Linked DNA regions of Tribolium castaneum. The main gene of each other region encodes a partner of the protein of the gene in region 3 in a complex. Links are inferred from orthologs where the notes say so. Each region holds a gene or a part of one and is shown on either strand. Other genes may lie near its edges. The genes, in order: dynein regulatory complex subunit 3, Gas8 and lobo.

Region 1 (5,923 bases), on a different chromosome or scaffold from region 3:
ATTTATAATCCGATACATTCTAAAGCCCACAAAAATAAAAATAAAATTTGACAATTTCAGAAAGTAATTTAAAAATGTGAACATGGAATCAATGGAAACTTAGACATTTTATAAAATATAAGAAAACATTTTTTGGAAAATTAAAGATTTAATCCGACGTTTTCGCCTTTATAAATTTGTGTTGCAAAGAAAAAATTACTGTTACAAATTTTGTGTTAACGTGTATTTTTTTAACCGTACTGTACATTTTCTCAACTAAACTTATCACTTGAAAGCAATATTTATGCAAGGCGGTTTAGAACAGTATTATTAACTTTGAAGTAATCTTTAAAGTAAACTATTCAACACGCAAATTTAAAATCGATGAAGTCACTTAGCCTTGTATTGTGCTCTCAGTTTACTACCTATATTGGACTTGTAAGATCAAGCGAGTGGTGTCGTAATACTCATTAACAATTTTTCCTTCATTGCATATTAGTCTAAATTAAAAACTAAAAATGGCAATGGAGTTTTTTTCCTCCAAATATACAAAATTGTGAAAATCCACCTACAAACCGACTCATAACTGTAATACATGTAACACATGCCTCGCCCATACAGTTGCATGCTATTGCAACATTTTACGTACAAATTAACTTTACTATTAATTTTGTAGTACAATTTAATTTACCAAATGACTAGGTTCACATCCATTTTAATAATTAAATCTAATCACTTAAATAAATGTGGTGCACGCTGCAGTAATCACAATTAATTATAATAATTGTAAAGAAAAGTTTTGGAGAGGACGTTGTTTTTTGTTAGCCAAACATTTTAAAATTTTATCTGAAAAAAATATGTCTGGTTCATTACTTAAATATTTACCAATGTCTCACAACACATTGTTGAATGATTGTTTATGGACTTATTATTACTATGTTATTGGTCATTTTCGAAAATTCTTGTTGCTCTATTTTACACTTGAATTATTCATGTAAATAGGCGATAGAAAAGAATTTATATTGTTATTTTTATTCTAAGGTGATTAAGAACGCGCAAAAATAGTTCCAATTAATTAACTGATCTGAATTAGCATAAATACATATGTATATTTATTTTAAAGCAACGATGAAAAATATTTCAACTACGTTTTGCCCATAAAATTATCAAAGAATGTGGGTACTACAGCGGTATTATTCCTAACTGTTGTGACATACATAAGAGATTATTGTACCGATAACGCAAAGTATTTTTTTAATAATAGGTTTAAATAGACAAATTTCCATAGGACCCCGTGAAGAAAGCATAAAACGTCTCAGTTGATAGCCTATGTAGAGTAGTATAAGTCACACCTATTGGTAAATAATTATAAACAAATTTGGTACGAAATAAAAACCACGCTGTAGTTGTGACAAACAAAATGTAAATGCAAAAACCTACACCTACACAGACAGCGATGACGAAGTACCTTAGAATTATTACCAGAAACAGTAATTAAACAGTCTGATGAATAGATATAGGTGAATCAGCCAACAAAAGTGATAAACAATGTAATCTAAACAATAAAATACAGTGCCAGCACCGGTTTCTAGTTCTATTTACGTTTTATTAAATCGATTTTAACAACGGAAAAAAATTAAATGAAATCCGGCAATGCCAAGCGGGACTCACCAATTCGCGATCCTACGGGCGTCGAAAAGGGATTTCCTCCTAATGCAGTTCCAAAAAAAGACATTTTTTATTTCTAAATTAAATTTCACGATTGCACTTTCTTGTTGTCACTTGACTTCTGTCACTGTCACTTGTCAAAACAAGAAAACACTGCGGCGCTTGCGCAATACTTCCGCTCCTAAATCTAAAATTTTCCGACGAAAATAACAATTTTATTTCAAACAAATAAACTGCATGACGCGCTTGTTGGTGTGTTAGTCACTGTTTTTCTAATTTATTGATCTTTTCATTCCCAAGTTGTGTAAACTTCTGAATAAAAAGACGTCAGACATGTGTCACGTGATCAAAAATTATACGAGGTGCGGTTCACAATTTAAAGTTCTTTTTTTATGTTATTTTTCCGTTCTTTCACGTAATATACTACCAAAGCGAGCATTTCTGCATTTATAACTGTGCTGTTGTCATTTCTTCTTTGATACAGAATACAACGTAATTTTACAATTTTGAGTATTTTTTTATAAGTTGCGGTATCAGCACTCGGCTTCGCCTCGACTACAATTTCGCAAACTCTTAATTGTAAAGATTTTTTTACTCCAAAAACCCTCTCTGGGCTATTTTTATCTACTTAGACGTTATAATCTACCTGTAAAGAGTTTTTTGTAATTGATATAATTTCACAATGAAAAATAATAAAACTCAAGAGCACAAGCTCGGCAAACTCAAAGATTCATGATTTCTCAAGTCCATAGCAACAATAAGGTACTTAAACAACAGTCATTGTGACATCAATAATTTCAAGAATGCTTGAAAAGGTATTTGTATCGATTTAGTGTGCCTAATGAAAATTTGTAAAAATGAATCCTTGTAAATTGAAAGAGCCAAAAGTAATAGACAATGCCCTTCTGGAGAAATGTATCAAAGACCAGGGCCCCAAGGGTGAAGCGGGTCGCTTGGCGGAGATCGAAAAAATCCCCCTTGAAGACGTCACCGAGATTCGCTTAGAATTTCTGAGTAACAATTCTTGTAAAATTTAAACCCGACTTTCTGTGTCCCTATCCGTAGATATCTTAAGAATTGACCACTTGTGGGTGCTGACATCTTTAACGAAATTAAATCTCAACAATAATTTACTGGAAAAAATCGAAAATTTGGAAAGTCTGGTGAACTTAACTGAACTAAATTTATCATTCAATAAAATAGCTAAAATCGAAAATTTAGACGAGCTTCGCAACCTTGAAAAGCTGAGTCTGTATGATAACGAAATCACGGTTTTGGAGAACATGGACACTTTAACAAAATTAACAGTTTTTAGCATTGGAAGAAACAAAATTGACGACTTGGACAATGTATTACGAAAAATAATTGTGTTCTAGAATACACAAATATTTTATAGATTCTGTATTTGCGACGATTCGGCAATTTAAAATCGTTAAATCTAGTGGGGAATCCCTGTGCCGAGGATGAAGATTTTCGTTTATTTATTGCAGTTTTTCTGCCACAACTCGTTTACTACGAATATAAATTAATATACGAGTCGGAACGGGAACTTGGACACGAAACTTTCAGGTTTCTAGCTAAAATTGTTTAAGTGAACATCAGTAGGAGAGTTTTTTAGTGCAAAACTGCGAGCATTGTTGGAGAAAGAGGAGAAGGAACGGGAAATCACTGCGATAAAGGAACAAGAGTTGGCCGATGCCGAACTTCACGCCTCTAGTTTCGTGGAGTATTTAAACACTCGCCATTTGTTCGACTCTTTATTTGCCAACGACACCGACGGCATGAACTTGATGAAAATCGGCGAAGACGCGCAAGAATTCTACGACGAGTACGAGGAGAACTTCATCGAACTGTGTAAACAAATATTCGAAAATGGGCAACAACAGTACATCCTGCGCAAAACCGAACAGGACCAGTTCTTAAAATGCGTCGAAGACGCAAATAAGGACAATCAAGACGAAAGCATTGTACGCCCCCTTTCGAATTTACTTATAGCCCCAAATTTCGTCCGTAGAAACACATGGAGATCTTCCTGGAGAAGAAGGCAATACTGTTCCTCAAAATCAAAAACGTGCAAAACCAGCTGAACTCAAACGAAATAAATTACGACGAGTTTATCGACAAATGCGACGTCTTCGTGGTGGAGTACGACGAGATGTTGCACGAAGTTTGGAAAGCGCTAATGAAACTGGAACTGGAACTTTACGAACAAATGGAAGAAGTCAACCAAACTTTCGAACACAACATCACAGAACTCGTTAATAATTTCATTGAATCGTCGCAGGCTTTCTTTACGCAGATCAGAGAGCTGGAAGTGAGCTACGCTGAAAATATCGGCGATTTGGCCACAAAGTTTCAAACAAATGCCAATTTGAATGAGGAAATCGAAGTTCCCGCAGTTCTTAAACCGGTAACTTCCGGCACTTGCTTTATTAATAATTTCAATGAGATTACAGCTTATGGCAGATAAGGATCTTCTGCACAACGCGTTGGCAACAAGTCACGATATGCACATGCAGATTATCGATGCGAGAGAAGACACTCTCATTTCGAACGCCAAGGATTGGCTAAATGATTTAATCGACGATTTAAACACGTAAGTTATGCCTTTACTTTTCCCGAAAAATATCCACAACTTGTAGGAATGAGATCAAGCGAAACAGGGGGAAAGTGCTGGAAATTAACCACTTTCTTGAAATCCAAAGGCAGGAGTTTGAGGATTTGAATAAGGAATACGCGCCTGATCTCAAGGATGACGTTATAGCCTTGGAATAAGTAAGATAGTAAAATATACTTTATTTTTACAAAAGTACTTACACATATTCTTGGTTTGGATAATAAATTTTACACTTCATTATATAAAAGAATATCAACTTATAATATCCTTATTTCTGTTTCTGCTTCAATGATTGCAGATACATTTCCAACCCCTTTTGCACACTGTCCTGAGCTACGTAATTCGCCACATATTCGTAATCTTTTTGGAGATTGTTAGTGAGGTCCTGAAATAAAAACTCATTTTTACAAAATATATAATTGAGCCTTAAATACAAAAATGCCAAAAAAGTCTATAAAAAAATCATAATACTAATTGCATCACATAATATGTTGAGATAAAAATATGTTTCCTTGGTGAGTTTCCTTAATAAAACATTTCGTTATATTTCCTTGCATTTTTAATAATGATTTTACCTACCTAGTTTTTGAAACTTAAAAAAAATACGGATAAATGCCAACTGATTAATTTCTGCAGAAAGATAGTACCCTCAACTTCTAGTATAAACTTAATTCGAAAGTATTACCAACAATTTCAGTACTAAAAGATCTTGGGGTTTTTTGGATAACAAATTATTTTTGAGATAATTTCTATATACTTGAAAATAATTTAAGCTCATAGGTCAGTATCGAAGCCTTTTTAACACAACTTTTTTTTAATATTGTAACATTTGGAAGGTTAGCAGTCTCTTCCAACTCGCTGGGACACGTTGCATAATTTTATAAAACTGTTATAAACAATGATAATGAATACAAAAAATACAATTGAAGGACCTTGATGCGAAATCACTTTACAACAGTTCTGAATGCAACTTCGTCATGACTAGTTTAATAAATTTATTTATTAAAGGTGCTTGAGAGTGGATAAAATATGTTGCTCTGATAAGTGAGTTATTGGTGTTTAGATTTGCTGAAATTAGGCTTACTTGTATGTCAGCGCCTCGCACTCCCAACTTGGATCTGGCTCTTGCAATTGGCGGAATTCTGGCGAATCTTCCGCAAAACTTCTCCGCTCTTGCAATGCCATCCTCTTTGCTAGCCGCCACCTCGTCAATCATTCCAATTTTCAAAGCTTCGTCAGTTGAGAAAAGATTGCCGCTAGTTAAAGCCAATTCAGTCTGTCTCGTTCCAATCACATTCCTCATGGACGCAATGAACCATTGTGGGGCCACAATCCCAAGTTGGGTCTCGTTTAAACCAATGGTGAAATTGTTCAACATTATTCTGTATTCACACGACAAGGACAGCAAACAGCCCCCAGCTGGGGCGTGGCCCTAATTCAAACAATTAGTTTTGGAAACGCTCATAATTAATGCACTCTTACATTGATAACTGCCACAGTAGGGTACGAAGAACCGTAAAGTTTAATCCAAGTTTGCTGTAAAGCAGTCCACCATTCTTTCAAGCGGCTGGGGTCCGGTTTGTACATCTCAAGGATGTCCAAGCCGGCACTAAAGACACTCTTGGAGCTCTAAAAATTCCCATTGTCAAGAAAACTAAC
Region 2 (5,923 bases), on a different chromosome or scaffold from region 3:
ACCAAAAAACATTTCAAAAACAATTACTCAAAAACGATTAAATTTTTAACGGACTTGATACTGTACTCATATTCCATATTTTGCCGGACCCTGTATGCAAGAGGCGTCTGCTATAGGTCTATTAACGCAATATCTCAAAAACTTAGAATTATTATACAAAATTCAACGTTTGCTATTAAATAGTTTGGAATTTTCTCAAAGTACGTAAATTTTTTAAAATTTTAGAATTTTTTAATAACAAAGGTTGACTTCTGTACAATTATTATTAGATTTTTTCTGAAATGTAATAAAAAATGCTTACATATTTTCATCTATGCAACCATTTATTCAGTCTAGGGATATCTAAAGATTAGGATATGACACGACGTACAAATAAAACGTTTCCATCCTCGTTAGTTCCGTTAATGTCGCTAAAGAACGTAGTTGTTCCATTACCGTCAAGTTTTCAGAGCAATAAATTTGAAAAAATGCTTGTATTTGTATAACAATTAGTACAAAGCAAACAAAAAAAAACAACAACTAGAGGATGAAATTCTCAATAAATAAGATACAAAAGTAATGCGAAAATTTTATCGTAAACTATATTTAAAAAAAAGTATAAACTTTGCTCTATTTGCACTCTACCTCAGATTTTTCAAAACGCTACGAATACAGTTTACAGATGCAAGAAAAATTTTAGAAAGAAAGTTGTAGAGAATTAAATTTCCTACAAAAAAGTCTGGGAAACTATGTCCATATCTTCAACCAGTTGGGCCCCAAAGTCGTTCTCAGACGCTCAAGCGACGGATTTGGTTTATTTTACCGGTGGTCAGATCTTGGAATGTTAAATTATACATAAACCATTATTAATAGAAATATGGTGTTGCAGTTTTTTTGTAGAAAATTTAATTCTCTATAACTTTGTTCCTTACACATTTTTGGTATCTTTAACCGTTTTTACTACGTTCTCAAAAATATAAGGTGGAACGCAAGTTGATAATTCAAAGCAATAATTCTTTGCGCACCGGCGCATATTTATCAAAACACTGGGAATACGGAACTGAATTTTTTGTAAAAAAAGTACTTGACACCATATTTCTATCTTCTACAGTTTATACAGGGTGCATCAGAAATACGTGTCTTAATTTTAACAGGTAATAGAGCTCAACAAATAAAACATCTTTTCTATTTGTAATTTTTCAATAAAAAATTTGCAAATTTACTCAAAATTTGAAAAAAGATAACATACTGAAACGTGTACTCATCTATAAGTACAAAAATAAGTGAACTGAACTATTTTCGTTGTGATAGAAACGGACAATTTAAACAATTTAAAACAACAATGCAAATGGTTGCCATGAATGCAATAATTATTAAACACTGACCGACTCGTTTGCACAAAAGAAAGGAGGAAAACGAAGAAAATTATAAATAACAATTTTGCAAAATGTTATATAGAAATGTTGTTCTCTTTGATGAGTTTTATTACGTGTTAAAATTAACACACGAATTTTTGATACATCCTGTATACATAGTGGATAAAAGTGGGTTGTTTCTAAATTTCTATAAATATGCAACCAATAATAGCGATTCCTGCTGACCAGATGGGTAATTGTTAAAAAAATTAATTTAATCCAAGATTACATTGTTCTGGATAGTGTCAAGTTTGTCTTGACAGTTCATTATAGATTTTGTTATAGATTATTATTATTTAAATGATAAAAAACCAGTGTTAATTTAAATAATGTTTTAAAAATCAAATTCCAAGTCGTACGTGCAATTAGTATTTTTGGTTGCATTTTAGGACATGTTAGAAGTAACCCACTATTGACTCACCCTGTAATAATTAACTTTATACCTACACTTGGTTCAGCGTCTTCAAGGCATAAACCGATGACGTTAGAAATATGGTCTGGCGGTCTTCTTTACAGGAAATTTAATTCATTTGAAATTTTTTCCCAATTTTAAATCTTAAATAATTTTTTCTCATGTTTGTTATGAAAATTTTAGTCGTCAGTTTTTGTTAAGAGTGCAGAGCTTAACATTTCTGCATTTTTTCCAAGTAATGAGTGAGTTGGTTGGATTTAAATTAATTTAAAATCGCTTGAAGCGCCCTCATTTTTTCTCCGCTGTACTATTTTTTTAAGTTCAGAAATTTCTGCGATTTTCTGTCTCGTTTCGTCTCCAAACTAATAAATAGTCCTCCATAATTCACACTGTAGTATACTAGGTTATAAAAATAAAGTTTTGTGCATCCGATTTTAATAATTACTGGTTTAATAAGAAATAACAAATAAAAGATTAATTCTTCACAAGTTTTTTTGTCACTCCGACACATTTTCTAAATAGTCATTTAGATGCCAAATTTTCTGACAGAATATTTTTAGTGTCATTGACTCATTGGGCAGAATTCTCCCTTAAAATAAGTCCATTCCAAAGAAATCGATACGCGGGTAGTAACCATCTAAACAAATAGTTTCTTGAAGAACTGCTAGCTAGTTCATTCACTTTCACTTCGTAAAATGGTTCAGTATTTTAATAATTGTTTGAATTTTCGCTAATTAAAATTTTCCAGCCTCCCAAAAAGAAAGGTGGAAAAGGAAAAGGCGGTTCGGGAAATATCATCGATGGAGTGGACACAACTCAAATGACCCGAGAGCAGCTCGAGGTCTTCTGCCACCGAATAAAAGAGGAAAACGAACGAGAAAGAGAAGAACGAAATTTCTTTCAACTCGAAAGAGATAAATTACGGACGTTTTGGGAAATCACAAAAAATGAACTTGAAGAAGCTAAAGCAAAACTCAGGTGCAAAAATTAAAAATTTGTAAAAACAAACACTAGAATAAAAATTTGTAGAAACAAAGACCGACAGATTGAGGAAGCGGCTGAGAAAAACGAAGAAGAACTGAAATTTTACAAGCAAAAAGTCAAACATTTGCAATACGAACACCAAAACAACTTAACAGAATGTAAAGCTGAAGCGCTTGTTTCGCTGAAAATGTCACAAGATGACCACACTGAACAGGAAAGAGAATTGTTGCGAGATAAGCGAGATTTGAAAGCGCAAATGCGGGAACAAGAAGTCGCCCATCAAGATCAAGTCAAAGCTTTAAAACTGGTACCTATGATTATTTGAATTTAAATAGTTATTATTATTAATAATACGGCTGTCGTTATGCAACGAGCGTATGCGATACCCGAGTGTTTTCGTATGCCTGTTTTTTGTTAGAACATTTTAATTTAAAACACGTTGCTATGAAAAGTGTGTTTTAAAATAGCGAAAACCCGTTGCTATGGGAAACGTGTTTTAAAATAATGTTTATAATCTAGGATTCAGATATTAAAAAAAAGACTTAAAATAGTACCAAAAAAAAATAGTTATTAATGATAAGAGTCCAAAAACACAAGCCTAAAGTTTGAGAGCCCTCTTTATGCAACGAGCGTATGCGAGTTTCATACCTAGACACCCGAGAAGTTTAAGCGTTTTCGTATGAGTGTTATTCAATTTTTTTTTGTTGGAATATTTTAATTTAAAATACGTTGCTATTGGAAGCGTGTTTTAAAATAACGAAAACATGTTGCTATGGGAAACGTGTTTTAGAATAGTGTTTATGATTTAGGATTCTAATATCAAAAAGAAGGCTTAAAATGTTACCAACAAAAAATAGTTATTAATAATACGAGTGCAAAAACACAAGATCAAAGTTCGAAGGCTGTCGTTATGAAACGAGCATATGCGAGTTGCATACCTAAACACCCAAGAACTTTAAGCGTCTTCGTTTGAGTGTTATTTAAAAATTTTTGTTGGAACATTTTAATTTAAAACACGTTGCTATGAAAAGCGTGTTTTAAAATAACGAAAACACGTTGCTATGGGAAACGTGTTTTAAAATAATGATCATAATCTAGGATTCAGATATTAAAAAAATGCTTAAAATGTTATAAAAAAAATAGTTATTAATAATAAGAGTCCGAAAACACAAGCTTAAAGTTTGAGGGCTGTTTTTATGCAACGAGCGCATGCGAGACACCCGAGAAGTTTAAGCGTTTTCGTATGAGTGTTATTCAATTTTTTTTGTTGAAATATTTTAATTTAAAATACGTTGCTATGGGAAGCGTGTTTTAAAATAACGAAAACACGTTGCTATGGGAAACGTGTTTTAGAATAGTGTTTATAATTTAGGATTCAGATATTAAAAAGAAGGCTTAAAATGTTACTAACAAAAATAGTTATTAATAATAAGAGTAAAACACAAGCTTAAAGTTTGAGGGCGTATGCAAGTTACATACCTAGACACCTGAGAATATGTTAATTTAAAACACGTGGCTATAAAAAGCGTGTTTTAAAATAGCGAAAACCCGTTGCTATGGGAAACGTGTTTTAAAATAATGTTTATAATCTAGGATTCAGATATTAAAAAAAAGACTTAAAATAGTACCAAAAAAAAATAGTTATTAATGATAAGAGTCCAAAAACACAAGCCTAAAGTTTGAGAGCCCTCTTTATGCAACGAGCGTATGCGAGTTTCATACCTAGACACCCGAGAAGTTTAAGCGTTTTCGTATGAGTGTTATTCAATTTTTTTTTGTTGAAATATTTTAATTTAAAATACGTTGCTATGGGAAGCGTGTTTTAGAATAGTGTTTATGATTTATGATTCTGATATTAAAAAGAAGGCTTAAAATGTTACCAACAAAAAATAGTTATTAATAATACGAGTGCGAAAACACAAGCTTAAAGTTAGAGGGCTGTCATTATGCAACGAGCATATGCGAGTTGCATACCTAGACACCCGAGAACTTTAAGCGTTTTCGTATGAGTGTTATTCAATTTTTTTTTGTTGGAACATTTTATTTTTTAAAACACGTTGCTATGGGAAGCGTGCTTTAAAATAATGTTTATAATCTAGGATTGAGATATAAAAAAAGGCTTAAAATATTACCAATAAAAAAATAATTGTTTTTAGCAACATAGTGAAGAGATAAGCACCATCAGAAACCAATTCGAACTGAAAGAAAAAGAACTGGAAAATAAATACGAAAAAAAATTTGCTGACCTGAAACAAGAATTAAACATCAAACATACGTAATCAAGGAATAAATGTGCAAGTTTTTTACATTATTTACCATATTTGTTGTAGGATGGAAATGTCGGAGCTGGAAGAGCGCAAAAATAACCAAATTACTGATTTGACAAAACATCACGAGAAAGTGTTCAATGAAATGAAGAACTATTACAATGACATTACTTTAAACAACTTGGCGTTAATAAGTAGCTTGAAAGTAACAAATAATTATAAAAAAATTAAGTGATGTCTTTTAATTTCAAATTGCAGGACCAAATGGAAGTTCTTCGGAAACAAAACGAACGAATGAGTAAACAAGTCGCTGACATAACTGCCGAAAACAAGCGCTTAACTGAACCTTTAAAACAAGCACAAATTGATGTTGCTGAGTATAAACGACAACTTGAACATTACGAAAAGGACAAGTTATCACTGGCGGTAACAAATTACTAATTTGTGGTAAATTTTAATCAGGCAGTCAATTTTAGAACACCAAAGCTAAATTATCGTCCACTAAACAAGAGCTGGATGATTTAAGATGGGCAAACGATGCTTTGCAATTAAGATTTGAAAAGGTGCCTATTTTTATTATTTCGTCCGGTTATTGAAAATTTTCCAGCTCGAGGCCGAAAAAGACGAACTGAGTCGAAGATTCATCGAGGCAATTCTAGACGTTCAGCAGAAAACCGGTCAGAAAAATATGCTTTTGCAGAAACGTATCCAAACTTTGACAAATGTGGCGGAATACAGAGATGTGATAATTGGGGAGCTGAGGGCGCTAACGTCGGAAGATATTACGGCGAAAAATTTGAAGCTGGAGGTGGGTTGAAAGTTTTATGATTTTTTTTTAATAAAAAATGTTTCAGAAAATTTTAGCA
Region 3 (5,516 bases):
CATTAAAGAGGTATACTCGTATACAGATATTCAGAGAAGTGTCGGGAGGCACCATTGTAAGGGTCTCGTTACTTTCATAACCCACAATTCGAAATAATTACTCTAATCAGGGAGATTTCGACCGTTGTTGAAGTAATCTCCGTCAGTTTAAATAAACAAAGGAAAAACAAGCTTGACTTCTAAAAATGGTAAATACGCCGAAATATTTTTTAAATTAATTTAAAAATTATTCGAAATTATTAAACAATTTCACTGTACTAAGATGAATTACGAAATAAAAGACAGTTTTGACGCTTAATTTAAACAAATCTAGAACCCGGAGGCAGTAAAAAATACGTATACTTTTAATGTAAATAAATATCTAAAATAAATAATTAAATGCTTTCAAAAACATAAAAAAATTGGATTTTTTAGTAATACAAAAAATGGAGGATGCGCCGGGCAAACTAGTAACATACATTTAATAAGTCGAATTTTGAATTTATAAACAAAGTAAAATTAATAATTTGTCTTTCTAAGAGTGGATTTTACAATCGCCCGATAACTTCATCCTGGGAATAAATTTTCAAAAATATATTGTTGTAACAATTGTAACCATAGTAATTATACTTCGAATAACTTATCCGAGGTTTATCTGGCAATAAAAAAATCAGACTTTTAAAGTAGTGCTAACAAGTTAACAACAAGATATCATTTATTGGTAAATTGTAAAAATGGTGGATGCGCCGGGAAAGTTAATCATTCTAGTGGATAAGTAAATATTAAGAAAACGAGAAACGAGATACAAAATAACTCTATTTTCTATACTTCAAAATTTAGAACGGCGGAGTAAAAATGCCCTTAATTTGAAAAAATGCAAGAACGTTTAGAAACAAAATCTTAATACGTTGAGAAAACCTGATTCGATTTTTCACAATAAACATGAGAAAAATTAACAGTTGCGTTCCGTATCATATTTTCCAAAACGCTAGGAGTTCGGTTATTGATGTAGAGAAGAAAATAGTAGAGAATTAAAAGTCCGCAAAACCATATCTCATTAACATTTCAAAACCCAAAGACCTTCAAAGCCGCTCAAACGACAGATTCGTTTAATTTGTACCTGTAGTTGAGTGTGTGGAAAAAACTTTAAAGCAATTTAAACTTAAACGGTTGAAGATAGTAATATGGTTAAGCGGACCTCTTTTCTGTGTTTTGAATCATATTCACAGCGTTTTGAAAAACATGGTGCGGTGCAATAAATGGTAATATTTTTAATGTACCAAATGCAGAAAGTAGTTTGAAAATGTTTGTAAAAATGGTGGAGGTGCCGGGCGAAATATCTTAATTTTATGATAACTATTGAATTATTATCTTTATAGCCAAACCGTTTCTACTCTCCTCACACAACCTTCGTCCGCAAGTCCGGACAGCCCCACGAGCTTGCTTGTGTCCTTTGTTCCCTCCTCATAGGCCTCGGTTACGATGCCTACGTGGTCTTCGGCTACGCAGTGCGAGATATAACGTTACGAATAATGAGTCGTGTCGATTCTCCATACCCCCCCGATGAGAAACAAGAAGATGTACGTGACGAAGGTGAAGACAATAAGAAATACACCGTTAAGCCCCCCAGAGATTTGCGAAGTAAATTTTTATTGATGATGGAACAGAAAAAAATCGATCAGATCAAAGCCGAACAAGAACGCGAAGCCGAACTGGAACGGCAGAGAGAAGAGGTGATGACACACGAAAAAACGACTTGAAACTATTTTTTTGGTGATTAGGAGGAGGAACGGCCGCCGCCGGACGATCTGGAAGGGATGAGGTTCCATTTTTGGGTCCTGATAAGGACAGAAGGTCGCGCCATCGACGAAAATACTTTCGTTGAGCCGAGTACTGGATATGCGCATCCGGTTAATAGTCCGTTGTACAGTGGCATCGAAAGTGTTTGGAATCATTTGAATTATTGGGTATGGCGGGAGTAAAGTGACTATTTTCTTAGGTTTTTTAAACAGGTCAATATGCAAGACTGCAAGGAAGGGTTGGGTACAATCGACTACAATTTGCACGATGTTGAAAAATGGGAACATTTGTTGATCGGAGAGCCGACTCAGTGGAGAGTCACCGTCGAAAATTTAAATATGGATGACGAAGAAGCCGCTTTAGCGAAAATAATGGAAGAAAAACATTTAGACATGCCGATATCTTGGAGCATGAAAATATCTATACCGCACAAAGGTTGATCACACAAAAATTTGAATTTGGTGTCCGAATTTTTGCTATTTCTAGCTCTAAAACAAAAATACCCCGAAGGCATGATCAGTACTTGGTATAAAAAAACACTAGTCGAAGAATACGCCCCTTATATTCAATATGACGGACTTTTAACCAAAATTATGAGATATAAAGACTTTGATTGTACGGAATGTATCACAGTTGAGCAGATTTACGAAAACAGACAAGACAAATTGAAGAAAATTGTTTATGATTTAAAAAGCGATCTAGTCACGGAGTATTTTGGCCCTGGGCGAGAAGATGCCGTGATTGGTATTAAAACCAAATTTTTTGTGTGATAACAAAAACTGAACATGTTTTAGAGCACACTTACTCGAATAAAGACACCGATTCAAATAAGCGGATAATTAAGTTCAACCACAAGGCACGCTACGACGGCTTGGAAAAAATTGAATTCGAGCGGGAACACATGGTTGAATATTACATAGACCGTGACGATTTGTGAGTCGCAAGAGCAAAAAAATTGAGTTAAACACAGGTTTCAGGTTTTATTTTCGCGAAGTGTTCTACGCCCGCAAAGGCCAACCCCCGCCTGGGTTCACCGAAAGTCACCGAAAATTGATTCTAGTTAGTTAAACTAGCGTGCTCTCACACTAACTGACAATTTTATTTCAGAGAATAATCGAGAAATACGAAAGGAACCATAAAGTCCCCGCGAGTCACGATATCGCGACCCGAGAATTCGCAATCGTCGATAGACAGATTCTTCTAAAGTATCATTTCGGGGAAGGAAGAGTCACTTGCTCGACCAGGAATTTCAATAAGCCTTCGATTGCGGAATCGGGGGAGGGAATGAAGTTCACACCTGAACTCACCTGGGGTTATGTCGCCGAAATCGGGGCGAAGCCCCCCACACAGCTGGAGTTGTTCCTTTTATTCCAGAAAATGTTGAAAGAAGAGGAGAAATCCCTGTCGCGGATCCGCGAAATCGAGGACCAGGTTGCAGAGTTTTTGACGCTGAGAGACCACGAAATGGCATTCCCGAAGCTGGACGTCTCGCTATTTAATATCGAGCAGAACGAGGAGTACCGTCAGGGAATGTTGGAGAAAGTTAGGTTTAGGTTTGGCGTTTCCGGTGCTTAAAACCCGAAATTGTAGGAAAAACAAGAACAGGAATATAAAGAAAGGGAAATTGAGGATGCAGGTGTTGAGTATTTGACGCCGTATTTGACTCTGTTGGGAAATCCGGAGAGCGTAACCCCGGTTGAGGCGTTCAAGATTAAGGAGAAGTGTCTCAGTGATTTTAAACAGTTGTTGCTTAATCGGGCCATTTGTATTCAAAAACAGTTCGAACACGTAATTTTTATTCCGTTTTGCGACATTTTTACCATATTTTTCCGTAGTGGACGCAGTATTTGAAAGACAGGCAACAGTGGTACAACATTAATCAAGACACGGTCACAGAAGAGGACGAAATAAAATATTTTCAGGAAGTTAATGACTTGACTTTTCTTTTACAGTGCTACGAAATTCGCTTGGCTCGTCATCGTGACTTATCATTTTTCAGGTATTTAGTTACGTGAAATGTCTCTTTACGTATTATTTTTTTTAGATATGAAGCCGTGGTCAGGTATTTGAATGCACAATTAAAACCACTGATCGAAACATTTGGATAACGTATATTAAAAAATAAAAAATTATGAGATCCATACATTGTGTTGAGTATTCTTACACTTAGGGCCGGTTTATAGAACGCTCCGTTAAAACTTAAATCGTTGTTAAAAGTTAACAACCAAATTGCTTCAGTTTGGTCACATGATCAGTAAAACACGCATTTAATTGCCAGTTAAATTAATGACGCTTCTATAAACCGGTACTTAATAACTAAAAGACCAAGAACCCATTTGACCAATACAGTGACCTTCTTCGTCAAAAGTGGCCAAAGTAAGTTTGCTTAGCTTATTGGTGAGTGAAGGTAAAGATGGTGCATGGTGAGTGGTTCCTACCGTTAATGAAGAATGAGTCTCTGCAAAAATAACATCAACCAAGGTGGCAAAAATTGTAAACTTACCGTTATCGTTACTTATTTGTTGTTCATAAGCCTTATCTGTTTCATCGTTCGTTTTCGCCTTGATATGATTCACAAACCCAGTTATGAGTGTATCCATAAGACTAGCTTGTCTTGAGAAAACTTGTAATATTTTCGAAACCCTTGCTCCATTCTCGACCACCATAAACTGGATAAAAAGACAAGGAAGACAGTTAGGGTCCTCCTCCTTCGACGGTCTTGCATATTCCCAACTGAGTTCCTCAAACCGTAACCCTAACAACAACGACTGGACCAAACACTAGCACCAACGCAACAAAATAAAAACGTACACATTGAGTATCATCTATTATGTAAACACCTTTGGAATTAATAGCTACAAGTACTGGAATGTCTTGGTACGTAATAAGCGATGTTAAGCCACGGACCGGTTGTTCGACTTGTCCCTCGAAAAAAGCAGATCTAAGGCCGAAAATAGAATTTTCCAAAGGCGAGGCACTTACCCATAAAACGGCAACGACCAACAAAACTCTAAATATTTTTTCATCAATTTTCGATTGGTGGCCGAATTCGGGATTCGTTTAAACTGTTCCAAAAGTCGGACCTCTGCCGAATTTTTCGAACTGATGGGTAGCCAAGTCCAAGTCGAGCTTTTCCTCACATGGATGGGCAAGTATTTCGACTGCTCCTCCCTAAAATAGTGGGTCGAATGGACTTGGGGGTTGTACGGCCCTAACTCGACTCGGGCTTGGATACCCCCTAGCATAATATAGTGTGCCACCTCGCACGGATATCGTCCCTCCAGGATATTATGTCTTGCTTCTTCATACAACAGTTCTAAAATTTTTTGGTCCCTAATGAACAAAGAGCAGAGATGTGGAATACAGTTAAATCGAAATCTACTACTTGATTTTCTCCTCTAGATGTTGCGGGAAAAAAATATTCCTCTGGAACATGATCTTCGGTTCGTCCCTTTGTTGCCTATTACTCGACACATGACTGTATTGCCCCACCAAAGCCCGCCAACTTTGCCTGATTTCATACGGCTTATGCGTAGGTTTAAGTTGAAGCTCTGAAAGGGCTCATTTGCAAAAAAAACTCTTTTTTGAAACATCACAAACACCTAAAAGTGGACTCGTCATCCACAGAGTAAACACTTGTGATGCCAGCTGCTTGTTTAATCCGAGCTCGTCGCTATTGATGATCGCTTGACATAGCAAATCGCAAGTGGCTGAAGGGGTATCCTCGATTTCCATCA

Evidence for each region.
Region 1: lobo (region 3) and dynein regulatory complex subunit 3 share a complex: the UniProt entries of both Homo sapiens proteins name them as parts of the nexin-dynein regulatory complex. The link is inferred for Tribolium castaneum from reciprocal best matches to the Homo sapiens genes DRC7 and DRC3.
Region 2: lobo (region 3) and Gas8 share a complex: the UniProt entries of both Homo sapiens proteins name them as parts of the nexin-dynein regulatory complex. The link is inferred for Tribolium castaneum from reciprocal best matches to the Homo sapiens genes DRC7 and DRC4.

Annotation. Positions count from the first base shown.
Region 1 is NC_087394.1:30,245,846-30,251,768, forward strand, and holds dynein regulatory complex subunit 3, read left to right. Parts: upstream 1-2,129; 5' UTR 2,130-2,504; coding exon 2,505-2,661; intron 2,662-2,712; coding exon 2,713-2,996; intron 2,997-3,043; coding exon 3,044-3,216; intron 3,217-3,265; coding exon 3,266-3,614; intron 3,615-3,661; coding exon 3,662-4,057; exon of another isoform or gene 4,058-4,103; coding exon 4,104-4,243; exon of another isoform or gene 4,244-4,289; coding exon 4,290-4,422; 3' UTR 4,423-4,514; downstream 4,515-5,923. Other genes in the region: TOM1-like protein 2, read right to left, coding at 1,651-1,714; enoyl-CoA delta isomerase 1, mitochondrial, read right to left, coding at 4,533-4,649, 5,349-5,696, 5,747-5,893. UniProt on the Homo sapiens protein: Component of the nexin-dynein regulatory complex (N-DRC) a key regulator of ciliary/flagellar motility which maintains the alignment and integrity of the distal axoneme and regulates microtubule sliding in motile axonemes.
Region 2 is NC_087400.1:9,426,308-9,432,230, forward strand, and holds the start of Gas8 (dynein regulatory complex subunit 4), read left to right. Parts: upstream 1-2,314; 5' UTR 2,315-2,501; coding exon 2,502-2,504; intron 2,505-2,554; coding exon 2,555-2,784; intron 2,785-2,835; coding exon 2,836-3,097; intron 3,098-4,946; coding exon 4,947-5,065; intron 5,066-5,120; coding exon 5,121-5,262; intron 5,263-5,315; coding exon 5,316-5,483; intron 5,484-5,533; coding exon 5,534-5,620; intron 5,621-5,664; coding exon 5,665-5,865; intron 5,866-5,911; coding exon 5,912-5,923. UniProt on the Homo sapiens protein: Component of the nexin-dynein regulatory complex (N-DRC), a key regulator of ciliary/flagellar motility which maintains the alignment and integrity of the distal axoneme and regulates microtubule sliding in motile axonemes.
Region 3 is NC_087396.1:18,011,393-18,016,908, forward strand, and holds the end of lobo (dynein regulatory complex subunit 7), read left to right. Parts: intron 1-1,358; coding exon 1,359-1,712; intron 1,713-1,760; coding exon 1,761-1,946; intron 1,947-1,991; coding exon 1,992-2,214; intron 2,215-2,265; coding exon 2,266-2,523; intron 2,524-2,573; coding exon 2,574-2,712; intron 2,713-2,756; coding exon 2,757-2,838; intron 2,839-2,886; coding exon 2,887-3,321; intron 3,322-3,369; coding exon 3,370-3,567; intron 3,568-3,614; coding exon 3,615-3,778; intron 3,779-3,823; coding exon 3,824-3,887; 3' UTR 3,888-3,925; downstream 3,926-5,516. Other genes in the region: Bili (FERM domain-containing protein 8), read right to left, coding at 4,089-4,237, 4,283-4,547, 4,591-4,720, 4,762-5,112, 5,165-5,330, 5,382-5,516. UniProt on the Homo sapiens protein: Component of the nexin-dynein regulatory complex (N-DRC) a key regulator of ciliary/flagellar motility which maintains the alignment and integrity of the distal axoneme and regulates microtubule sliding in motile axonemes.